Linked DNA regions of Mus musculus: regions 2 and 3 are each reported to be linked to region 1. Evidence: microRNA targets listed by miRTarBase, many of them from high-throughput screens and not tested one by one. Region 1 holds a microRNA gene; each other region holds the end of a gene's coding sequence.

Region 1 (10,919 bases):
TCCCTGAGTCATTTTCAGGGCCAGCTCCAATATTAGCCGCTTTGCAGGTGAGTGTGGACATCTTCAAGGGATTTCCTGATGAGGAGAGCATCGTGAACTACACTCTCAATCAGGCCTACCAGGACAATGTCACAGTGTTTGCCAGTGAGTTCCTCTCCCTCCTCCCACAAGGTCTTCTGTCTCCTACAGACCTACGCTCTCACCAGCTCAATCCCACCCTATCCCTACTGTGTCCCATTCTCTTCCAGTTCCTTGGCCTAGACCTTGTCCCCAGTTCCACGTCTTCTCACATCTCTACCTTCTCCCAAGCCTGCTTCAGTTTGCTCCCACAGGCGGCATGCTAGCTCCACCTCATGCCCTGTCCTTCAGTCCTATTTCCACTCCTGGAGTGCTCACCTCACTGTGTCCCACGCCTTCTGTGTACACCCTCTGGCCGTACACTTCATCAGCCTCCTGTTCCAGGCGTGATCTTCCAGACACGGAAGGACGGCTCCCTCCCTCCACATGTACATTACAAGATTCGCCAGAATTCAAGCTTCACTGAGAAAACCAATGAGATCCGCCGTGCTTATTGGCGTCCAGGGCCCAACACCGGTGGTCGCTTCTACTTCCTCTATGGCTTCGTCTGGATCCAGGGTGAGGTTTTGAGCCCAGATGGGATTCGAGGGGGCCTGGCCTCGCCCTGACACCACCTCCAACCCACAGACATGATGGAGCGCGCCATCATCAACACATTTGTGGGGCATGACGTGGTCGAACCTGGCAACTACGTGCAGATGTTCCCATACCCCTGCTACACCCGTGACGAGTGAGTGCCAGCCTTCAGAGGTTGGGGGGGGGGTGTCTCGGGCCGAGCCCTACCTCACGCTTGTCTCCCCTCAGCTTCCTGTTTGTCATTGAACACATGATGCCATTGTGCATGGTGATCTCCTGGGTCTACTCTGTGGCCATGACCATCCAGCATATTGTGGCAGAGAAAGAGCACAGGCTCAAGGAGGTGGGTCTGGGTGGCTGCAGGCGCCCCCTAGGGGAGGGGCGGCCGGCGTGGGAGGGGAGGAGCGGCAGTGCTGTCCTTTCCTCTCGTCTCTACCCCACCTACCTGCCCCACAGGTGATGAAGACGATGGGCCTGAACAACGCCGTGCACTGGGTGGCCTGGTTCATCACGGGCTTTGTGCAGCTGTCTATCTCCGTGACAGCTCTGACCGCCATCCTCAAGTACGGCCAGGTGCTCATGCACAGCCACGTGCTCATTATCTGGCTCTTCCTTGCCGTCTACGCTGTGGCCACTATCATGTTTTGGTGAGTACTGCAGGGAGTGGGGAAACTGTTAAAAATAGGCAGACTCTCTCTTAGGGCTCCTTTGGGCCCCACAGGGGCAGCCCAAGTGGGCTGCAGGCCAGGAGTGAAGGGTCTTGGGGTTAATGGCTAAGTGATCTTCCACTGTAGCTTCCTGGTGTCTGTGCTGTACTCTAAGGCTAAGTTGGCCTCAGCCTGTGGCGGTATCATCTACTTCCTGAGCTACGTTCCCTACATGTATGTAGCGATCCGCGAGGAGGTAGCCCATGACAAGATCACTGCCTTCGAGAAGTGCATTGCGGTGAGGTTTGTGGCCGGGCGGGGCCAGGATAGGGTGCGCGTCTCCAGCCCATCTACTGACACCCATCTTTCTTCAGTCCCTGATGTCCACAACAGCCTTTGGCCTGGGTTCCAAGTACTTTGCACTGTATGAAGTGGCAGGAGTGGGCATCCAGTGGCACACGTTCAGCCAGTCCCCAGTGGAAGGAGATGACTTCAATCTGCTCCTTGCTGTCACCATGCTTATGGTGGACACGGTGGTCTACGGCGTGCTCACTTGGTACATTGAGGCTGTGCACCCAGGTACAGGCCTATCTGTGGAGGGACCAGTGTGGGACAAGGTCACTGGGCTTCTGCCTTCCTCTGGGTGGTATTTGGCCCTTGTGGTGGATAGTCGTCACCTCCAGGCCCCCTGTCAGCTCTCCCCTCCTGGACCCCCAGGTATGTATGGGCTGCCCCGGCCCTGGTACTTCCCGCTACAGAAGTCCTATTGGCTGGGCAGTGGGCGGACAGAAGCCTGGGAGTGGAGCTGGCCATGGGCACACACACCGCGCCTCAGCGTTATGGAGGAGGACCAGGCCTGTGCCATGGAGAGCCGGCACTTCGGTGAGGCGAGGGTCAGAATGTTGACTGGGATGGGTGCTGGGTTTGGGGGTCTGGGGTGGCCTTGGTGCTGCCCCCAGCCTGCTGACTCGGCCCTGGTACAGAGGAGACCCGCGGCATGGAGGAGGAGCCCACCCACCTGCCCTTGGTCGTCTGTGTGGACAAGCTCACCAAGGTCTATAAGAATGACAAGAAGATGGCCTTAAACAAACTGAGCCTCAATCTGTATGAGAATCAGGTGGTCTCTTTCCTAGGCCACAACGGGGCCGGCAAGACCACGACCATGTGAGTGTCTAGGGACAACGAGGAGGGATTAGCTAACGGGAGGATGTGGTGGATTGTGACCCCGCTTACCCCACTCCAGGTCGATCCTGACTGGACTGTTCCCACCCACGTCGGGCTCAGCCACTATCTATGGGCACGACATCCGCACCGAGATGGATGAGATCCGCAAGAACCTGGGCATGTGCCCACAGCACAACGTGCTCTTTGACCGGCTCACGGTGGAGGAGCACCTCTGGTTCTACTCACGCCTCAAAAGCATGGCACAGGAGGAGATCCGCAAAGAGACGGACAAGTGAGCGCAGTGAGGGACTGACAGGGCAGACGGACGGGTGGGCAGATGGACAGGCGGGCGGGCATGTGGATCTGAATCTGCCCCACTGCTGGGCACAGGCAGTTTGACTGCGCTTATCCCACACTGCAGGGATAAGCACAGTCTGAGATGTGGGGAAGCCTGCGCTGGTTCAGAGGTCCCTGGGCTGTGATGAAGCAGGGCAGGGGGTGGGAGGGGTGGGGGCATGGGATTCTCAGACTCTTGGACGGCTGCTGAGAGTTGTAGAAGGGCAGAGAGTAGAGTCAGGAGCCTACTGGCTGAGGACAGCATCTAGCTCCAAGGTTGGGGGCAGGTGGAGGGAAGAGCTCCGACTTGCCCCAGCCGTGATTGCCCTTAGCTTGCCAGAGGCAGGCTGGAAGCACAGATGGGCCTTTCATGAGAGAGTTGTGATGTGGGTCTGTAGACAAAGGCCTTCCCCAGGTTCCTCATGGTGGGTCTTGATGAAAGCAACAGCCCATGTTTAACCTTATCCTTTATTAGCTGGAAAATGGATGCATAAGCCCTCTCTCAGGGTCTGACCCGAGATTAAATACCGTTTGCAGGGAGAAATGTCTGGGAAGGGAAGCTTATTGGCTAAGCCCTCTGGGCCTCTAGATGTCTCATTAGTGTGGAGAGCTCTGTTTTGGTCCTACTATGTGGCCACAGGACACATTTCTTTTATGTGAGAAGCATGGCAGGTATTCCAAGTCAGGAGTCTGGCAGAGAGCAGGGAGTTGCCTAAATCTCCGGTGACTGCCCACCTACTCTCCCGGGTCTCAACCGGTTCTACCCACCAAACTTCCTGGCATGGTTTTACGTCCCACAAGGGCATGAGCAGAGGGAGGTGCTGTGGATGCTCATGTGGAATTCAGGGGGAGGGGTGAGGACATGGGGAGATGAGGGCTCTCCCCAGTCAGCCTTCCAGCCTTGGTCTCCCCCTCCCATCCCCTTCCTGTCGGGCCCACAGGATGATTGAGGACCTGGAACTCTCTAACAAGCGGCACTCACTGGTGCAGACGTTGTCTGGAGGCATGAAGCGCAAGCTTTCGGTAGCCATTGCCTTTGTGGGTGGCTCTAGAGCCATTATCTTAGACGAGCCCACGGCTGGCGTGGACCCCTATGCTCGCCGTGCCATCTGGGACCTCATTCTGAAGTACAAGCCGGGTGAGCAGGCTAGCGGGCTGGCCGTGGCGGGGGTGGTGTCTCGGCCTGCCCTGTCTGTTCACTTACCTTGGTGTTTGGCCTACCCCAGGCCGCACTATCCTCCTGTCTACCCATCACATGGATGAGGCTGACCTGCTGGGGGATCGCATTGCCATCATCTCCCATGGGAAGCTCAAATGCTGTGGCTCTCCCCTCTTCCTCAAGGGAGCCTATGGCGATGGGTACCGCCTCACATTGGTCAAGCAGCCTGCAGAACCTGGCACCTCCCAAGGTCTGTGCTGAGACTACTTGAACCAGCCTCTGGTCCTCCGTACCCCATGATTCCTTACCTAGGAGAGGTGCAACCTCACCCTCACTTCATGGGGACTTGGGACACCTCTAAGCCTCATCTCGACTTGCTTGCCCACTAAGGCCCCTTCTTCCTCAGCCTCTCACGCATCCCCTTCTGCTCCCCCTTCCTTCCCAGAGCCAGGGCTGGCTTCCAGCCCCTCAGGTTGTCCTCGGCTGAGCAGCTGCTCGGAGCCGCAAGTGTCCCAGTTCATCCGCAAGCATGTGGCTTCCTCCCTGCTGGTCTCAGACACGAGCACCGAGCTCTCCTACATCCTGCCCAGCGAGGCCGTCAAGAAGGGGGCCTTCGAGCGCCTCTTTCAGGTGTGTGGGGCTGGCTGTGGTGGCTAGGGACACGAGGGGCCCGGAGAGAAGAAGGACACGTCGCTGCCTGCGTTCCGTGGCGCTGCCTTACCCGATCTCTTTGCAGCAACTGGAACACAGCCTGGATGCGCTCCATCTGAGCAGTTTTGGGCTGATGGACACAACTCTGGAGGAGGTGTTCCTCAAGGTGTCTGAAGAAGATCAGTCACTGGAGAACAGCGAGGCTGGTAAGAGCACCCAAGGCTGGCGGTCTGTCCAGCTACCCACAGAAGGCCCTGGGGACACTGCTTCTCTGTAAGTCTCTGGAAGTGGGGTCAGGATAGGCTCGTGGTGGATGGTATGGTAGCTCTGCCTACCTGTGAGTAGGTATGTGAATTAGAGGCTGGGATCAAGGCAGGGCCTGGGGTTATGGGAGGACACTAGGGACTGAGGTACTAAGATGTCCTGGAGAGGAGAGCCTTGGCCCAAGCCTTCCCTCCCTCACCGCCTCTGTTGTTTGCAGATGTGAAGGAGTCCCGGAAGGATGTGCTGCCTGGGGCAGAGGGCCTGACAGCTGTGGGGGGTCAAGCTGGCAACCTGGCTCGGTGCTCAGAGCTGGCACAGTCACAGGCATCGCTGCAGTCTGCATCCTCTGTGGGCTCTGCCCGTGGGGAGGAGGGCACCGGCTACTCTGATGGCTACGGTGACTACCGTCCCCTCTTTGACAACTTGCAGGACCCAGACAATGTCAGCTTACAAGGTGGAAGCCAATGGGGAAACTGGGGAGGGTCCAGAAGGGTGGCGTGGGACTGGCTATTTACCTCTGCCTCTCTGCACAGAGGCAGAGATGGAGGCCCTGGCTCAGGTGGGCCAGGGCAGCCGCAAACTCGAGGGCTGGTGGCTGAAGATGCGGCAGTTCCATGGGCTCCTGGTGAAGCGCTTCCACTGTGCTCGTCGGAACTCCAAAGCTCTCTGCTCTCAGATTCTGCTGCCTGCCTTCTTTGTCTGTGTGGCCATGACTGTGGCGTTGTCTGTCCCTGAGATTGGTAAGGGTGCCTGGCCCATGTGGTCTGGGGCGAGGCTACTGTCTTGCCCCTGGGTCTTGGCTTCATTTTTCTCCCAGCCCCCTGTAGAACAGTCCTGAGCTCCTCTCCTCACACTCTGAACCTTACTCAGGGGCTCATGAGAGGATCTGTCTCCTTAGGAGTCATCCCCACAAGCTCAGCCCTCTCTGTGTTAGGGCTGGGGCTGGCATCAGATAACTGCAGTCTGCTCAGGTCTCCGTATTCACCCATCAGGTGACCTACCTCCACTGGTCCTGTCACCCTCTCAGTACCACAACTACACCCAGCCCCGTGGCAACTTTATCCCTTATGCCAATGAGGAACGCCAGGAGTACCGGTGAGGCCGTGGGCTGGGGCTGTAGCACAGGGCAGGGCAAGAGTTGAGACTTATGGCTCCTAACTCACTGTCATGTCCTCAGATTACGGCTGTCACCTGATGCCAGCCCCCAGCAGCTGGTGAGCACATTCCGGCTGCCCTCTGGTGTGGGTGCCACTTGTGTGCTCAAGTCTCCTGCCAACGGCTCCCTGGGACCCATGCTGAACTTAAGCAGTGGAGAGTCCCGCCTGCTGGCGGCACGGTTCTTCGACAGTATGTGCCTGGAGTCCTTCACACAGGGGCTGCCACTGTCCAACTTCGTGCCACCTCCGCCCTCACCCGCCCCTTCTGACTCACCCGTGTCCCCAGATGAGGATTCACTGCAAGCCTGGAACATGTCCCTGCCACCTACTGCTGGGCCAGGTACTACCTCAGGGAAGGCTCCGGGGGGCACAGGCATGAGTGACCCATCTCATTGTGCTGCACTGTGCCCACAGAGACGTGGACGTCGGCGCCTTCTCTGCCACGCCTAGTGCATGAGCCAGTCCGCTGTACCTGCTCTGCACAGGGCACGGGGTTCTCATGCCCCAGCAGTGTGGGTGGACACCCACCCCAGATGAGAGTGGTCACAGGTGACATCCTGACTGACATCACTGGCCACAATGTTTCTGAGTACCTGCTCTTCACCTCTGACCGTTTCCGACTACACCGGTAAGTTGGCCTGAAGTGGCTGTGAACAAGGGGTGCCTGGCAGATGGCTGCCGAGCCTCAGTGACCCTCCCACCTGTCTTGTACAGATATGGAGCCATCACCTTTGGTAATGTTCAGAAGTCTATCCCAGCATCCTTTGGTGCCCGGGTCCCTCCTATGGTGCGGAAGATTGCAGTGCGGAGGGTGGCTCAGGTAGGCGGCTGCCCTTGGGTTTTGGGCACCTGGTCCTAAGCCTAATAACTTTTGGTTTCTGAGCCTCTCTGAGGTCCTTGCCCCTCCCCAGGTGCTCTACAATAACAAGGGCTACCACAGCATGCCCACCTACCTCAACAGCCTCAACAATGCCATTCTGCGTGCAAACCTACCCAAAAGCAAGGGCAATCCAGCAGCCTATGGTAAGGAGAATCAGGGTTGAAGGACAGGCAGGGATGCAGCTGAGCCGAATGGTTGCATGGACCTAAAGCTACCCTTTTCCCGTGTGCAGGCATCACCGTCACCAACCACCCCATGAACAAGACCAGTGCTAGCCTCTCCCTGGATTACCTGTGAGTGAGGCAGACCAAGTTGAGGAGGGGCAGGACCACCTCGTCCTGACACCTCCTGGAACTGAGTGCTGTCCCCTTCTAGACTGCAGGGCACAGATGTGGTCATCGCCATCTTCATCATTGTGGCCATGTCCTTCGTGCCAGCCAGCTTTGTGGTCTTCCTTGTGGCAGAGAAATCCACCAAGGCCAAACACCTGCAGTTCGTCAGCGGGTGCAACCCTGTCATCTACTGGCTGGCCAACTACGTGTGGGACATGGTGTGCCCCCGCATGGTCCCTCCCTGTCCCTGACTCCCATCCCTACGCCCGGGTCTCATCCTCCACCTTCACCTTTGCAGCTCAATTACCTGGTCCCAGCCACCTGCTGCGTGATCATCCTCTTTGTCTTTGACTTACCTGCCTACACATCACCCACCAACTTCCCCGCGGTGCTCTCCTTGTTCCTGCTCTATGGGTGAGCTGGGGAGGGGTGTGGAGCATGTATGGTTGTGGGTGTGGCTGGGGGTGCCCTGTGACCACCACTGTTTGTCCACAGGTGGTCCATCACACCCATCATGTACCCAGCCTCCTTCTGGTTTGAGGTCCCTAGCTCAGCCTACGTGTTCCTCATCGTCATCAACCTCTTCATCGGCATCACAGCCACGGTGGCCACTTTCCTTCTGCAGCTTTTTGAGCATGACAAGGTAAAGGTGGGGGTGAATGGGCAGCAAGGCGTGGCTTGGGGCAGCAATGCTGAGCTATGGCTGCCCCCCAGGATCTGAAGGTGGGGGTGAGTGGGCAGCAGGGCGTGGCTTGGGGCAGCAATGCTGAGCTATGGCTGTCCCCAGGATCTGAAGGTTGTCAACAGTTACCTGAAAAGCTGCTTCCTCATCTTCCCCAACTACAACCTGGGCCACGGGCTCATGGAGATGGCCTACAATGAGTACATCAACGAATACTACGCCAAGATTGGTGAGTCTGGCTCTGGGTGGACAGTACGGGCCTTCAGGGGGCCACAGAGTGGCGTGCCTAGTCCTTGACTCTTAAGTTCCAAGAACAACGGGGACCCTTAAGGCTCTCAGAACCCTGAACCAGCGGTTCCACAGGCCAGTTTGACAAGATGAAGTCCCCGTTCGAGTGGGACATTGTCACACGTGGACTGGTGGCCATGACAGTCGAGGGCTTCGTGGGATTCTTCCTCACCATCATGTGCCAGTATAACTTCCTACGGCAGCCACAGTGAGTGGAGTGTGTTGGGTGATGCTGCGGACCCTTGGTGGGGTGTGTGTGTGTGTGTGTGTGTGTGTGGCTTGGCCAAGCCCTGACAACTTTGCTGCCCTAGACGCCTGCCTGTGTCTACTAAACCTGTGGAAGACGATGTGGATGTGGCTAGTGAGCGACAGAGAGTGCTCCGTGGCGATGCTGACAATGACATGGTCAAGATTGAGAACCTGACCAAGGTGGGCTCTGAGCTGTGGGAAAGTAGGTGGGGAGTGGGGCGGGGAGTGGGTCCCAGCAGTGGGATGAAGTCAAGCCAGACAGGAACCCCCCCCCCTTTGCTGAGAGGGAAGGCTCTTTGGTCAGGTGTACAAGTCTCGGAAGATTGGCCGGATCCTGGCAGTGGACCGCCTTTGCCTGGGTGTGCGCCCTGGAGAGTGCTTTGGGCTCCTTGGTGTCAATGGTGCAGGGAAGACCAGCACCTTCAAGATGCTGACTGGAGATGAGAGCACAACTGGGGGAGAGGCCTTTGTCAATGGACACAGGTGGGGTTCCTGTACCCTGGATACACACAGGGAAGCATTGGATGTGCGTGTGCCTGTGTGTAACTGCTTCCAGGTGCACGGCTGCTGGGGTTAGGGTGTGAGTGGGTGGGAGACCCCACCCCTCAGGTGCAAAGGTGTGTGTGTGTGGATTTAGGAGTGTGCTGACCATGACCTCAGGGTCCAGGAGGGCAGGTGTGGGGTGAGCATACCGTCCTGGGTATTGATCACCCTCTGTCCCCAGCGTGCTCAAGGACCTGCTCCAGGTACAGCAGAGCCTTGGCTACTGCCCGCAGTTTGATGCCCTGTTTGATGAGCTCACGGCTCGTGAACACCTGCAGCTGTACACGCGGCTGCGTGGCATCCCCTGGAAGGATGAGGCACAGGTGAGGACAACGGGGAAGTAGCTGGGGGTGCCCCAGTGTGCATGTGCTGGTGGGAGTTCTGTAAGGTGAAGCCCACACCTCCTCGCTTGGCCCTGCCAGGTAGTGAAGTGGGCCCTAGAGAAGCTGGAACTGACAAAGTATGCAGACAAGCCAGCTGGCACCTACAGTGGAGGCAACAAACGGAAGCTTTCCACAGCCATTGCCCTCATTGGGTACCCTGCCTTCATCTTTCTAGTAAGTCTTAGGGGTAGGATTCCTGGTCAGCCAAGGACGGCAAAACCAGGTTGGGTGGGCTGTGTCTCTGGCTGAACTGACCCCTGCCCTAGGATGAGCCCACCACTGGCATGGACCCTAAGGCCCGGCGCTTCCTGTGGAACCTCATTCTGGACCTCATCAAGACGGGACGTTCGGTGGTGCTGACGTCACACAGGTGTGCCCCTCCCCCACCCCTCCGTGGGCCTCTGGCAGCCCCTCTGGTACCAGCCTGAGCTGTCTGTCCACAGCATGGAGGAGTGTGAGGCTCTGTGCACACGCTTGGCCATCATGGTGAACGGGCGGCTGCGCTGCCTGGGCAGCATCCAGCACCTTAAGAACAGGTGAGCCGAGCAGGGGTGCAGGAGGTGGGAGGGCTGTCAGACCACACCACGCGGGGCTCCCGGCCACACCTGTGTCCCACCAGGTTTGGGGATGGCTACATGATTACTGTAAGGACCAAAAGCAGCCAGAACGTGAAGGACGTGGTGCGGTTCTTCAACAGGAACTTCCCAGAGGCCATGCTCAAGGTAGGTGTGGTTAAATGGGGTAAGGGCGAGAGCATGTCCTGCCCTGGCAGCCCCAGACCTCCATGGTTCCCCGATCTCCTCCAGGAAAGACACCATACGAAGGTGCAGTATCAGCTCAAGTCAGAGCACATCTCGCTGGCTCAGGTGTTCAGCAAGATGGAGCAGGTGGTGGGTGTGCTGGGCATCGAGGATTACTCAGTCAGCCAGACCACCCTGGATAACGTGAGTGTGCTGCGTGGAGTTGGGGTGTGCCCTCTTGGATTTGCCTGCACCACTCACCGGCGGGCCCCGCCCACCTGTCCCCAGGTGTTTGTGAACTTTGCGAAGAAGCAGAGTGATAATGTGGAGCAGCAAGAGGCTGAGCCCTCGTCCTTGCCGTCCCCCCTTGGACTGCTCAGCCTGCTGAGGCCCCGCCCCGCACCCACAGAGCTCCGGGCATTGGTGGCTGATGAGCCAGAGGACCTGGACACAGAGGATGAAGGCCTCATCAGCTTCGAGGAAGAGCGGGTGAGTGGTCAGCACCCTCCGGGCGGTTCTGCCGCTCCGGCTGCCCGAGGCTCACACTGAAGGACCTACATGAGAGGGGCAGCTGTAGCTCTGCCTTCTCTCTGCTGCTTGGCCCTGGAGCAGAGAGGGTCGTCTGCATGTCGAGGCCTTGAGTGGATATGGGGAAGCTGGAATGGGCAAAAACCGAATGCAGAGCCCAGAACTCACTGCAAGCTTTGAAGACCCCAGATCAGTGGTGGGGATTACAAGAAACCAAAGACTAGGGGGAGTGACTACCAAGCTGGCCAAGAGGAACAGACAC
Region 2 (4,000 bases), not on the chromosome of region 1:
GGTGGCCACTGTGCCTTTAGTGATCCCTTGGACTTCGCGGAGTCACGGGTTCATTATACTGAGTTCTGTTGGTCAGTGTGGGAGGGGTCACCCGGCACGTGGATCTCTCTGTGCCTGTGTCAGCTCACCGCGGCTGTTCTCCGTTCCAGCTATCCACGTTCCGCACACTCTTGTTCTCCGGGCGAGGTGAGGAAGAGGATGTGATGGTGAACAACTACCGCCCGCTCCAGCCCCTCAGGGACCGCAAACTTCGCTCGTCCTTCCGGCTTGATCGGACCAAGATGAGGTCTTAATCTCAGGATGAAGTCTGTAAGGATAGGCAGAGCAGACCGGAAAGGGGGCCCGAGTTTCCAGGGTGCCACGTGGCACGACGAGCCGGGGCGGCAGTGGCGCACGCCTTTAATCCCAGCACATGGGAGGCAGAGGCAGGCAGATTTCTGAGTTCGAGGCCAGCCTGGTCTACAGAGTGAGTTCCAGGACAGCCAGGACTACACAGAGAAACCCTGTCCCGAAAAAAAAAAAAAAAAAAAGAAGAGGAGAGACCTGCTTTGTTGTTGTTGTTGTTGTTGTAAATAAGAGATATTCTTTAAAGAAACCCGAGCAGAGCTGAGGAACAGCTCAGCCCACAAAGTGCTGGCCTTGTGCCCCGAGGACCCGAGTTCGGATCCCCAGTATCTGTACGAAAAGCTAACGACAGTGCCGTGAGCACGTAAGCCTCAGTGACGGGCAACACGGGAAGCAGAGATGGGTGGAAGCCTGCAGGCCAGCCGGCTGGGGGCTGTGTTGTAAAATTCCAGACCTGGTGAGAGGTCCTGTCTCAGGCAAAATGTGGGAGGTGTCTGAGGACTGACTGACATGTGACATTGCCCTGTGACATCCACAGGCAAAAAATGCACATTTGCATCTATACATACAGGTGCCCCAAAATGCCCAAGTCATAGACACAGTGAGAAGGACAGAGACAGAGAAACTTAAGTTTATAGAGTACAACTCTGAGCAGAAGACCCAAGATAGGTACAAGGTGGCCTTCAAGACTGAGCAAACTGTGGAATGTGGTGGCTCATGCCTTTAATCCCAGTACTGGGGAGGCAGAAAGGATGGATCTCTGTGAGTTCAAGGTCAGCCTGTTTTACACAGTGAGTTCCAGGACAGCCAGGGCTATGTAATGAGACCCTATCCCAACACAACAAAAACAAAAATCCAAAAACAGAAACCGAACAAATAAAAAATAAATAAAACAAAAGCAAGCCTCCCCAACTGACTGTTTTGTCTGGCTCTCAGCTCCTGTTTTTTCCGCTCCGCACGTGGAAGTTGTCTGTGGCACACTGCTAGGGCCACCCAGTGTCCTCAGTAACACAGAGGGTGGGACCAACATCCTTTCTTCAGTGTCAAATTGGAGACCCCTGTAACACACCATGGAGAGCTGGGTGGCTTCGAGAGCCTGAAGCCCATTCTTAGGAAAGCCCAGGCAGGCTGTAGTCAAGGTGTGAGCAAGGCGGCTTCCTTCTGGAGGCCCTGGAGAGACTCACCGCCGTACAGCCCCAGGCTGGCCTGGAACTCAGCGTAGTCAAGGCTTGCCCTCCATACTGCTGGCTCTATGGCCACAAACTGACTTTTCTGTCCCCTCATTCCATACTTCCACAGTCACATCTCTTGTGGTCTGGCCCAACGGCCTCAGAAAGACCCCCTCATGGTTTTTACCTGGTGTCCCTACACGGTCCAGGATCAGTTCCCCATAACCATGGCCTTGATCCCCTGCAGAGTCCCCGAGGCTGGGTCACACATCCACGGGGTCAAAGGTTTAGACGTGGGTGTCCCTGAGGAACATCGCCACAGGCTCTGTATCTCTTGACCTCCAGGAAGGGATTCGGTATAAAGTGAGACGCCTTGAAAGGCGAGACATGCGCCCTGCCACACTGCTGCCAGACACCCCTCTGTTGGATGCCTTTTCTCTGGAAAAACGGCTGGCAGACTCAACTCTCAGGGCCTCAACTGCATCTCCGGATGCCCCACCTGGTAGTGGCACTATAGAGAGAGGAGTGTCCTTAGCAGGGTGTACAGCCTCACTCCACCACACTAGCCACCAGTGTGGCTGGGGACGCGGTGGTGCCTCCTCTACAAACATCACCGCTCTTGGCACCCTCACCCTGCTCCTTCAGGCTGGGTCTCCAGCTTCTTACCTTTTCCTGGGATCTCCACCCTCAGATGGCCCTGCAGCTGCCCCTCCCTTGGGCTCTGACAATGGCCTGTTACAGACCGCTCACCCTCCGTCACACTCTGGTCCTTATCCCTATTGTGTCGTCTTCTGACCTCTTGGCCCAGTGCATCCAATGTGCTCTGTGATCCTTTGGCTTCTGTTGTCTTTCGTCATCAGCCCCCTGGGATTCAGATTCCAAATGGAGTGAAGATGGACAGTACCCGAGGGTTGGGGTCCCTCCGTGTTTATTTCCTGGAGGAATGCGAGCTGCCTCCTGCCCGTGCACCTGCTCTGACCAGCACACAGCATTCAGCATCACAAAGCCAAGAGGAATGGCCGGCTCCGAGGCCTCCTTTGTACACTGGATCAGGACTACCTGGGGCTCCATCACCTCTGTTCCAGGTGACAACAGATGTTCTGTCACCTCAGCCATTTGGGGATTTTTTTTTTTAACTGTTTGCTTGCTTGGAAGAAGGGGGTGGGAAATCCCCATTCATGTGGTAGTTATTGCTTTTATGGCATTACCACTCTCCCTCAGGTGGAAACACGGCTCAACCACCTTATCGTATTATCTTCAAACGTTGCTTCCCCGCCAGGTAATGCAATGAAAAACAACACAGAAAAATAAGCAAGCGCTGGTCTGTCTTCCAAGGCACACTGTGTCTCGCTGGGGGGAAATAAAGAATAAATATGTACTCTGGTCCACAAATAGCAGGCTGAATCAAAGAGAGCCCGCGGAGTCCCCGGGTTTACCTTGGCAGAGTTTGGTCCTCTCCCAGCTCAGAGTTTCCTATGGTGTCAACAGCCTGCAGCTGCAGCGGGGCTAGGCAGTGTCCCGGAGCAGCTACAGAAAGCCACCCTGGGCTTCCCGATAGCTTCCTCCTAGAAGAGTGTAGAGGCTAGCGTGCAGCTGTGACCGTGGCAGTAGCTGGCCCAGGTGCAGCAAATGCCTGAAGGCCACTCTTGACTTCCAGGCATGCTGGGTGTCTTGGCTGCCAAGGCTGGCAACAGAGTATGAGAGGGTCAGGGGGCTCTGTCACTATAGACATGACACCAGAGGGCAAGTGATCATCTTGCCTGTGGTTGGAACTCAAAGTTCATTTTTTTTTTAAAAAAGATATATATATACACACACACACACACACACACACATATACATATATATGACTTCAGACGCACCAGAAGAGGGCATCAGATCCCATTACAGATGGTTGTGAGCCACCATGTGGTTTCTGGGAATTGAACTCAGGACCTCTGGAAGACCAGCCAGTGCTCTTAACCACTGAGCCATCTCTCCAGCCCCCAAAGTTCATTCTTGAGACTTGAAGAAACACAAGCATTCTCGAGTCTCTAGGAGAGGGACTTCAGTCTACACAAGCAAGTGCTGAGACAAGACAGGTCCCCACCCAAAGGCTCCCAACAGAAAGGTGTGTCTTCTGGCCATGTGTGATAGCACGCATCCCTAACTGTAGCTTGTGAGATGCTGGGACAGAGACTTGATAACCTGTCTGCTTTTTGTCTTTTTTGTAAAGAGTGGATACCCAGGTCCTATGCTTGTGTGTCCCAGACCTCTGAGACTCATGCAGCAAGGGGAAAGCAGTATTCACGAGAGGGAATTCCTGAATCTCAAATGCAGGCACAGAGCTGCTTCCACCAGGCCAGACCGTGTGGAAAACTTGATGGGAAAGGAGCTTGGGCCTCAGGTTCTTTGAGCAACAGGACTCTTCTGTGTGTGCCAGGAAATGGGATTGTGGCCCAGGTCTCAAGATTGGAGCCTGGGACAAGCCACAAAGGAGTCACATT
Region 3 (10,919 bases), not on the chromosome of region 1:
TCCGCCTGCCTCTGCCTCCCGAGTGCTGGGATTAAAGACGTGCACCACCACGCCCAGCCCATGTGTTCTTTTGAGTGTGTGTCTGTGTGAGTGCAGATCCATGTGTATGTATTCTAGCACACATGGGGGTCAGATGGCAACATTGGGTGTCAGTCCTCATTTCTACCTTGTTCGAGAAAATTTTTCCTTGGCTGCTGTGTATGACAGTCTAGCTGGGCTCAAGGTTTTGGGGATGTTTTCCCTGTCTACACCTTCCATCTCAGTATAGGAACAGAGGGATACGTTCTTCTGCATCTGGCTTTATGTGGGTGCTGGAGGTCTGACCTCAGGACCTCATGCTCACATGGCAAAGAATTTTATACACTGAGCCACTGCCCCAAGCCTAAAGGCATTTCCAATGTTTCCAATGTTTCTGTTTAGTCCATATATATATGAACACATCTGAAGATCAGAGGATAACTTGTGGGAAAGGGTTTTCTCCATCATCAGGATCAAACTCAGGGTTGGTGGCAAATACCTGGGCCCACCGAGTCACCTTGCTGGCCCCATATAAAGGCTTTGTATGTGTGTGTGTGTACACACGTTTTTGTGAGTTTAACAAGTGTAAGTGCTACAGTGTGCAAGTGCAGGTCAGAGGACAACTTCACTTTCCACCAAGTTTAAGTCAGGGCCTCTGTTTTGTTGTTGCCTGCAGTGTTTTGGGGCCGAGCTTGCTCATGAGCTTCTGGGGTTTCTCCCGTCCTTCCTTCTAGCTCCCCATATGCTGCTTGCACTGTGTGTATCAGCCTTTACAGGGTCCGGGGACTCTAATTCAGGTCCTCATTCTGTGAGGCAAGTACTTTTTCTTTCCTAGTCTTCTCTCTCACCCACCCAAGACCTCTTTGAGACAGGATCTCACTCTGCCTTGGATTGCTAGGATTAAAGGTGTTAGGCTACACATGGCAGCCTTTTTTATTTTATTTTTTGAGACAATGTTTGGAAAACCTGGAACTTCCTACATAAACTAGGCTGCATCCCAAGTTGGGGAGACCAGGAAGATGCACGCAAACAGCTCTAAAGGTCCTTTTGGTTGTTTTGACTGCGGCAAGAGGATCTCTACATAACCCTGGCTGTTCTGGGACTCAGCCATCCTCTACCTCTGCCTCCCAAGTGCTGGATTTAAAGGCATGCACCAGCACACCCAGCTTCTAACGCATTCCTTGATATAACAGATTGGAAGCAACCTAAATATTTACCAACAGGAAATCAATAATACACAACGGAATGGAGAGCAGCTAAAAGTCAGCTAGACATACATGTTAGGATGGCTCTGAGACACACTGTTTAGTGAAACCGCCACTAAGAAAACCACACAAAGCACTAACATGTACAGAACAACACATACATAAGGTCAAGGTCGTAGCCAAAGCTTGAAGTATGGATAGAAATGACAGTCCTTTCTGATGGGGAGAGGGAATGTGATTATGGCACTTAACTGTTGTAGCCCTGGCTCTCTTGGACTTGCTTTGTAGACCAGGCTGGCCTTGAACTCATAGAATCCATCTGCTGCTGTCCCGAGTGCTGGGAGTTTTAAATAATTATTTAAAAATGTTTTTATGACCGCCTGGTGGTGGCGCACACCTTTGATCCCAGCACTTGGGAGGCAGAGGCAGGCGGATTTCTGAGTTCGAGGACAGCCTGGTCTACAAAGTGAGCTCCAGGACAGCCAGGGCTATACAGAGAAACCCTGTCTTGAAATACCAAAAAAAAAAAAAAAAAAAAAAAAAGTTTTTATAAAGAAATTCATGTGCTGGGACTGGACAGATGGTTAATAGCATGTGCTGCTCTTTCTTTCAGAAACCCAGAGTTGGGTTCGGCATATCCAATACACATCTGCTCTCCCAGGGCCCCTGTACTCATGTACACATACAGCATATATACAGAAGGAAGAGTAACAAAAGTCAAGTCTTTAAAAACTGACATATATGTGCTCTGAGGTATTTAATTTTGTGTATTTCCTGTTGTTTAGGAAGCAACCGTTTTTGTGAGGACTGGATGCAAGCTTTCTTACACGGTGCTGAAGCCGGTAACCCTTTTCTTTTCAGACAAGTCCTGGAAAACTTTAAACTAAAGGTAATGAGGTGGCTGTGGGCTATGGGTCAGTTACATTGTTTTTGTTCTGCATTTAATTACTGCAGGTGGTAGCATCAATGATGGGCTTGTGCAGTTACAGTGTTCTTTAAATGGGGCATCCTCTGAGCTCAGAACACAGGAGGTGTCTGCTCTCCAGCGGCACTGCATGCGTGTGATTTCATTTCCACCACTTTGGGGTGAATTGCTTGCTTATATTTAGGGTGCATCAAACTGACACATCTCAGTTGAAAAACACAGAAATAAATTATTTCAAATTCTTGCAAGTGAGGGCTGGTACCTTAAGAGCTTTTTTTGTATTATTTATTTATTTATTTAATGTATATGAGTACACTGTAGCTGTCTTCAGACATACCAGAAGAGGGCATCAGATCCCATTACAGATGGTTATGAGCCCCCATGTGGTTGCTGGGAATTGGACTGGACTCAGGACCTCTGGAAGAGCAGTCAGTGTTCTTAACTGCTGAGCCATCTCTCCAGTACCAGGAGCTATTTTTTTTTTTAAAAGTCTTTTTAAAGTGAGATTCTTTTACACTAAAGGCAAGCATTTTAGCAATAGGAATAATGGGTATTTTTTTTAAAGTTCAACATTAGCAGGGTGGGTAGTACATAACTTTAATCCCAGCACTCAGGAGACAGAGTTCAAGACCAGCCAGAGCTACATAGTGAGACCCTGTGTCAAGAGACAAAACAAAAGCCGACATTATCAGTGTCCGATGAGTGTTCAGCTAGAGACGGGGTATTTTTCAAGCATCATCATCATGTCACTGAACATACTTACAGGGCAATCTTTTTCTAGGCTATACAAGACACAAACAATTTGAAGAGATTTATCCGACAGGCAGAGATGAATCATTACGCTCTGTTTAAATGTTACATGTTCCTTAAGAACTGTGGCAGTGGAGATATCCTTTTGAAGATTGTTAAAGTGGAACATGAAGAAATGCCCGAGGCCAAAAGTGTGGTGGCTGTCCTTGAAGAATTCATGAGAGAAGCGCTTGTCTGAAGTTCCAGTCCCGTGTTGAGGATCTGTTTCATGGAGTGTATTGAGGCTGCATGTGGGGGCTGTAATTACCATTGTTTATAGGATTGCACTGCCCTAAGATGACTGGAAACACCCCAGCTTCTTCCTTTTGTGCTTTTTTTGTTTAATTTAATTAAACACAACAATCAGAGGAATGTCTTCACCAGGTCCTAGGCAGACGCTGTGTTACAGCTGGGGAATTTTGCTGTCTCATAAATCCTAAGCACGTGCTGCCTAAAGAGCTCTGGAGATGAGTTTTGGCTTCTTGGGAGTTTACCGTAGTGTTTAGCAGGATTTCCTCCTCCAAAAGAAACATAGTATGCCTTTCTCAGTACAATGTAGAAGTTTGTAAAGTACATGATCCTAGCAAGATGTGATGACACATGCCTATAATCCCAGCTACTCAGGAGGTTGAGGCAGGAGGTTGTGAGGTTCCAGGCCAGCCTGAGCTACTGAGTAAGTTTATGTCCAGCTTGGACTACAGGGCAGTCATCACCTTCCTGGTCTTACTGCACCATCAGCTCGCTTCATTGACAGCCTGTTCATCCTCTGAGTGCCTGATACAAACCAATGGGCAGGAATGACGAAGCCACCTTTTGAAGCGAATATACACACGAATTATGAGTGTATAAGCACTTAAAAATGAGCTTTATGTATAGAAACTTGTGGGCTGGCAAGGTGGCTCAGAAGGTAAAGAAACCTGCCACCAAGTCTGACAACCTATGTTCAATCCCCAAACTCACTTGGTAGGAGAGAACCAACTCCACAAGTTGCCTCTGACCCATACAGAGCTACATACTCAATAAATAAATACATGAAGATATGGTGGGCTGGAGAGGCAGCTCAGCAGTTAAGAGCATTGTTGCTCTTGGAGAGGAGCCGGCACCTACCTGGTGGCTCAATTTCAGGGGATTTGACACCCTGTTCTGACCTCCTCAAGCGTCAGGCACACATGTAGTGTATAGATATACATGCAGACAAAACATACACATAAAATAATCTAAAACCAGTAAGAAAGAAAAGAAAGAGGAAGAGAGAGAAGAAAGGGTATACTAGCTTCAAGATGAAACATTCTCTCTGACTAAAAAGCTCTTGTGGCAATTTACACAATAGGTATTTATTTGCCAGGAGCCTGTATTTTTTTCTTCCTTATTTCTAGATAAAAATGCTGGAATTCTTAAGCAGTATTAAGAAAAAGGGAAATAAAACAGTTAATATAGGAAATATCCTTTACAAGCAAATATAAGAATGCACATGTGGTGATTCATGTCTTTGAATGTAACCTTCCACAAGACGTAGGCAGTTGGAACTCCCTGAGTTCAGGGCCAGTCTGATTTACTGAGTTATATAGTAAGCTTCAGGCCAGCCAGAATTACAGAGTGAGTCCCTGTCTCAATAAATAAGAAAATAAACAATATTTTAAAAATTAAAAAATGTAAACAAATTCCTCTCAACACAATTGCTCATTGATTTTAGATCTTTCTGTCTGTCATAAGCCTCAGATCGTTTTGCCCTGAGTCAATTGCAAGAGCCCTTGAGTCGTCATTTCTCATCCCATGGGTGCCAGCTGCAGCCACACGCGTAGCTGTTCTGCATAGCTCTTTAATAAATCCATTTGGTAATGAATTTGGTTTAGAAAATCAGAAGGCTTATGTTCTCACTGCCTTTGGGATGCTCAGAGGAGCATGAGTCTGTGAAACGGAGGCATTCTTAACTGCTTGTAAACCCTGCTAGGAGCTGAGTTCTAACTTTCAAAGAGACTAATGATATGGCTTTCTGCCTTTGCTTCTCCATAAGTCAGTCTAGGGATAGGAGTCACCACGCCCTTCCTTTCCCTTTAATGAGAAATACAATTCAGTATCTTCATAAATGCTTTCATATGGCTTTAAAGTTTAATAGCTTGGATTATAGGCAGTATAGAAAAGAATGTAAGTAGCATTTTTATAGCTATCTGACGGCTGGATAGTCAGCAGCTCTGTGGTACTTTTCTTGAATCTTTTCCCAATGCACTTGGTGCCCACTTGGAAATCATTAAAAATGAGCGACATTAGGACATCGAGATTTTGAGTCTCTAAAATAGTAATCTTTATTTTTAAATTCACAATCAGGAGCAAATAGAATTCTAAAAGTAAGTGTAGGGGTTAGGGAAACAGCTCAGTGTAAAGTACTCGCTATGCAAACGTAAGGACCTCAGTTTGATCCTCGGGACTTAAATACAGAAGCAGGAGTGCTAGCATGTGCTTGTAGTCCCAGCACTGGGGAGGAGACTCAGTTCTTACTGCCAGCCCAGCTGACTTGGTAAGCTTCAGGCCAGCAGAGACCTTATCTGAAAACAAATGGAAAAAAAAAAAAGATAGCTCAATGGATAAAGGCCCTGGCTGGCAAGTCTAGAGCCCATGTGAAGGTGGAGGGAGAGCTCACTCCTGCAAGCTGCTCTCTCTCTCACTCTGTCTATGCATCCTTCAGAGCTAACTATTAACAAACAAGAAAACAGAAGGGTAGATGGCTCCTGAGGATTGTCCTCTGACCTCCAAATGTTTGTGCACACAAATAATAATATATATACCAATAATAAATAAAAGCAAATGCTCTACCAAAAAATAATAAAAATAAACGCAAATGCAGCCAGGCAATGGTGGTGCACACCTTTAACCCCAGCCCTCAGGAGGCAGAGGCAGATGGATCTCTGAGTTCAAAGTCAGCCTGGTCTACAGAATGAGTTACAGAATAGCCAGTTACACAGAGAAACCCTGTCTTGGTAAAAAGAAAACCAAAACAATAATAAAGGAGATGCATTAAGTCACGTGTGGATATAGGAAAAACATAACTCTATATTCTTTGCTTATTTATAGGTACTTCTTTGTAATGTAAGCCCACTACACTACACAATTGTATATAGTAGTCTTATATTTAAAAAGAATCTGCATAGGCAGAGACAGGCGGATTTCTGAGTTCGAGGTCAGCCTGGTCTACAGAGTGAGTTCCAGGACAGCCAGGGCTATACAGAGAAACCCTGTCTCAAAAAAACCAAAACAAAAAAACAAAGAATCTGCAAAATTCTGTACCACTGAAAAAAGATGTCATGGAATTAATTATCTTGTTGATATGAAAAACAGCTCATAACCATAAGCCTATTGTCATATTCAAATTTTAATGTGAATGTATTAAATTTTAAAGGCTTGGGGGATGGAGGAACACCCTCTCAGAACAAAGGGGAGGGGGAATAGGATGAAGAATTCTAAGAGGGGGTGCTGGGAGGGGGGCAACATTTGAAATGTAAATAAATAATTAATTTTAAAATATTAAAGGCTTAAATAGTGTTTGTTCAGATGCGAAGTAAACGAGTGCTTATGTGCAGTACGCAGGAAATATGTTGGCCTTGTGTAAAAATGCCTCTGTGTAACAGTGATAAAACTCCAGGTCAAGGCAGGTAGTTTTACCTAACTGAGCTTAATTCTTACCTTTAATTATTTCCAGTAATTTTACATGGAAATTATACTTCACACACACACAAAGATGTGTGAAAAAAACTCAGATTACCTGTTGGAATGCACACAGAAGAGGTAAACAGGTTTCTCACAATGGTTCATTTGTTGTGTAAAAAACAGTTTCACCTGTAGGACGCAGTAGCTCAGGTCCTTTCCTGTCTTGCTCATTGTTCAGAGTGATAGGACTCTAGGTGGTGGTGCAGGCCTTTAAATGGAGGCAGGCGGATCTCTGAGTCACAGGCCAGCCTGGTCTACAGAGTGAGTTCCAGGACAGCCAGGGCTACACAGAGAAACCCTGTCTCAAACAAACAAAGCAAAACAAAAGTGAGAGACAGGACTTGATGCTGGAAATTCTGGTGACAGGGAGTAGTGACAGGGCTGACAAGAGAAGTCTGAGCAAACATTTCAAAGTTACCAACTGTTCCTCATAGCCTTGGGCTGATGCAGTGAGACAGGCTCTTCATTGTGCATGTTCATGTGTGTGTTTGCACGGATATGTGGAGACCAGAGGACCTTGTATGTGTGGCCTGGGGCTTGCCAAGTAGACTAGGCTGGCCAAGTCCCAGGGATTTGCCTTCCCTATGCTGGAATGGCAAGTGTATACCACACGTGGGTATGAGGAACTTAACTCAAGGCCCAATGGCTGCACAGCCATGTTATTGAGCTCTCTCCCTAGCCAGAAACTGGCCCTTTGTTGACAGGGTCTCTATTATGGAGCTCTGGCAGTCCCGGAACTCCATCTGTAGGCCAGGCTAGCCTTAAACTCAGAGATCTGCCTGCCTCCGTTCCCAAGTGTTGAGACTAAAATCATGCAGCACCATGGCCAGCCAGGAATGGCTTCTCACACTCTATCATTGCATGGTTTAATGCCCTTGAAGTCCCATGCAACATTCAGGGGCCAAGAACAGGACCGGGGGTGTGGGGGTGTGTGCCTTAGGTATGGATCCAGCATACTAGTTACTATCAGCATGTGACTATGAGTCCTCCTCTGTTGTACAAATATGGGATTGTTCATAAGCATTTTACATAAAAATGTGAAATGAAAGCTATGAAAGTGGTGGTGCATGCCTTTAATCCCAGCACTTGGGAGGCTGAGGCAGGCAGGTTTCTGAGTTCGAGGCCAGCCTGGTCTACAGAGTGAGTTCCAGGACAGCTAGGGCTATACAGAGAAACCCTGTCTCAAAAAACCATAAATAAATAAATAAATGAAACAGCTATGAAAATGGCTGAGTATAGTGGCACACTCCTTTAGTCGAAGCACTCAGGAGTTAGAGGCAGGTGAATGTCTGTTTAAAATTAGCTAGGGAAGCCAGGGTTACATAGTGAGACCCTGTCTCAAAAAGCAAAACATTAGCTAGAAAAATACCTACCTCATTGTCTTAGGGTTTTACTGCTATGAACAGACACCATGACCAAGGCAACTCTTTTTTTTTTTTTTTTAAGATTTATTTCTTTATTATAAATAAGTACACTGTAGTTGTCTTCAGACACACCATAAGAGGGCATCAGATCTCATTACAGATGGTTGTGAGCCACCATGTGGTTGCTGGGATTTGAACTCAGGACCTTTGGAAGAACAGTCAGTTCTCCTAACCGCTGAGCCATCTCTCCAGCCCCCAAGGCAATGCTTATAAGGACAACATTTAATTGGGGCTGGCTTACAGGTTCAGAGGTTCAGTCTATTATCATCAAAGTGGGAGCATAGCAGCATCCAGGCAGCTAGGGTGAAGGTCTCCCCCTTACCCTCAGACAGGGTTTCTCTGTGTAGCCCTGGCTGTCCTGGAACTCACTCTATAGAGCAGGATGGCCTCAAACTCAGAAATCTGCCTGCCTCTGCCTCCCAAGTGTTGGGATTAAAGGGGTGCGCCACCACTGCCTGGCTAGGGTGAGGGTCTTAAAGCCCACACCCACAGTACATACCTACTCCAACAAGGCCACACCTCCTAATAGTGCCACTCTCTGGGCCGAGCATATTCAAACCATCATGTCTAGCATAAGTAGGAACTTAGTAAATTCTTTCTTTTTTTCCCCCCTTTCTTTCTTCCCCAAGGCAGGATTTCTCCGATTAGCCCTGGCTGTCCTGACTCAGAGATCTGCCTGTTCTCTGCCTCTGAGGCTGGAACTGAAGGTGTATGCTACCACGCTCAGTTTGTTTTCATTTCTTAAATTATCACTGGTAAACATCTTAGCAAGTTACTTGATGAATGAGAGTCTGACAGGAGGGAAGAGACAGGAAAGGAAAGGAAAGGAAAGGAAAGGAAAGGAAAGGAAAGGAAAGGAAAGGAAAGGAAAGGAAAGAGAAATGGGAGGATGTCAAAGGCAATGTAAGGAAGGAAGCAGCTTTTGGGTCTTCAAGGAGCTGCCTTGAAGCCACAGTTCAGGTACCTGGAGCCTGGGAGACTTCAGTGGAAAACCTCTGCAGGGGACTCAGCTCTGCGCATGGTACAAGTGGGCGATCAGTCAGCCTGAACCAACTGCACTCCTGATCTTAGTTCAGGGATGGCTCCTGCGGTGTTTTGAAACATTCTCCAATAATACACAGGAAATTGATGTGAAGGGAAGTAACCCCCACTCTGTACTTAACAGGGCAATTTAATCCTCCAGCACTCAATAGCAGTTAGCTGGAAAGATACACAGGCTGCTGCTGACCTGACACCGAGTTGGCTTCTCCAAGCCTCATCCATGCAAAGCCAGCTCAGCTGTTAAACTCCCAGAGTCCCAGGCTTCGCCTTGAGCATATATGGAGCTTCCATTCCCCCTCCTGGAGGTGAACTCGACCAGGCACCGTTCTCAAGATTACGATGTTGATGTTGATGGAACCTGGAAGCACTGGGCTTACTGAGGGAGAGAAAGAGGTCTCTAGGACATCTCAGAGATTTCTATCATAATACAATCATATTAACCACATATGTGTGGTTGAGATATATATATATATATATATATATATATATATATATGTATATATATATATATGATTAATATATGAACATATCTACATGTATTAATCATGTATAAAAGTATAATAAATAGAACTGGAGAGATGGCTCAGCAGTTAAGAGCACTGACTCCTCTTCCAGAGGTCCTGAATTCAATTCCCAGCAACCACATGGTGGCTTCCAACCATCTATAAAAGGGATCTGAAGCCCTCTTCTGGTGTGTCTGAAGACAGCTACAGTGCACTCATATAAATAAAATAAATCTTAAAAATGTATGGTATATATAATACATAATATATATTTTACATAATAAATAATATTATGTATAGTATATTAAGATATATACACATACCATATATACATGCACACATATATATACACACATGTATGTATATATGTGTATGTGTATATATATATATATATATATATATATATATACATATATATATATATATATATATTCCTGAGTAGATGTGTTGTTGACAAAGACAAGGCCATGTCAAAGACCCCAGTGTGTCATCCCCACAGGAGCAGCAATGCCTTCCCTGGAAGAGACTTGGAGAGATGGGAAAGGTTTCCTCTGGTCTGTGTGTGAATATAGATAGTGTGCAGAGAATGTCTACCGTAATTTTGCCCCTCCACATGTTTATGGCCTGAAGACTGCGTCCCTACAGAGACTGTGTCTACGAGGTTAGCTACACTTGCCTTCCTGTTCATCTGGATACCACAACCTGAGTTGCCTGTCCAACAGTATATATAAACACTTTGAGCTCGTGGGGCAGGGCTGGGGCTTCTCCATCCACATCCACTCAATCCCAGATTTTCCATTCTTGAATCCACGTATTTGTCATTTCTTCATTCTGTGGCCAACTGTCCATCCCTAGAGCGACTTGGAGGGAGGTACTTAGAACTAGATGAATGGAAGGGAAAAATAGGCCTGAGGGGACAGGGGGCTGAGACTCCTCTCTATCTGCTGGCACCCACCTCGAAAACTGTCCGGGAAGCGACCTATGTGGGTGTTTTCTTTTTTTCTTTTCTTTCTTTTTTTTTTTTTTTTAAGATTTATTTATTTATTATATGTAAGTACATTGTAGCTGTCTTCAGACACACTAGAAGAGGACATCAGATCACATTACAGATGGTTGTGAGGCACCATGTGGTTGCTGGGATTTGAACTCAGGAAGAGCAGTCGGTTCTCTTAACCGCTGAGCCATCTCTCCAGCCCAGTGGGTGTGTTTTCATGGAAAGAACCTTCAGTGTTCACCAACCACTCTGAGAAGGTTAAGGAAGACAGTGCCAACCACCAGTGCCAGAGCCACCCACCCACCACTGCCCGTTTTC

The links. The annotated mature microRNA mmu-miR-3087-3p reads UAACUCACUGUCAUGUCCUCA and lies in region 1 at 6,031-6,051, shown strand. An mRNA with a match to its seed (bases 2 to 7 or 8) in the 3' UTR can be bound and repressed. Matches are read on the target gene's strand: a 7mer-m8 pairs with bases 2 to 8, a 7mer-A1 pairs with bases 2 to 7 and ends in A, and an 8mer does both.
Region 2: miRTarBase lists Car5a as a target of mmu-miR-3087-3p. Seed matches in the 3' UTR shown: 7mer-m8 at 467-473.
Region 3: miRTarBase lists 5730455P16Rik as a target of mmu-miR-3087-3p. Seed matches in the 3' UTR shown: 7mer-A1 at 4,494-4,500, 7mer-A1 at 5,871-5,877 and 7mer-m8 at 6,131-6,137.

What each region holds. Positions count from the first base shown.
Region 1 is chr2:25,436,783-25,447,701 of GRCm38, forward strand. It overlaps Mir3087 (microRNA 3087), which reads left to right and starts at 5,997; the gene lies at 5,997-6,052. It overlaps Abca2 (ATP-binding cassette, sub-family A (ABC1), member 2), which reads left to right. Exons shown (of 49, transcript NM_001368624.1): 13 at 48-144; 14 at 463-636; 15 at 706-808; 16 at 883-997; 17 at 1,111-1,301; 18 at 1,449-1,599; 19 at 1,676-1,880; 20 at 2,019-2,183; 21 at 2,285-2,465; 22 at 2,545-2,757; 23 at 3,743-3,939; 24 at 4,028-4,210; 25 at 4,406-4,590; 26 at 4,697-4,817; 22 more.
Region 2 is chr8:121,912,657-121,916,656 of GRCm38, reverse strand. Car5a (carbonic anhydrase 5a, mitochondrial) reads left to right here. Exons shown (of 7, transcript NM_007608.2): 7 at 150-522. The coding sequence ends at 293. It overlaps BC048644 (cDNA sequence BC048644), which reads right to left. Exons shown (of 2, transcript NR_167716.1): 2 at 1-307. Among named protein-coding and RNA genes, the nearest start is that of BC048644, 6.8 kb to the right of the region's middle.
Region 3 is chr11:80,356,029-80,366,947 of GRCm38, reverse strand. 5730455P16Rik (RIKEN cDNA 5730455P16 gene) reads left to right here. Exons shown (of 10, transcript NM_027472.3): 9 at 2,009-2,112; 10 at 2,930-6,456. The coding sequence ends at 3,136. Among named protein-coding and RNA genes, the nearest start is that of 5730455P16Rik, 17 kb to the left of the region's middle.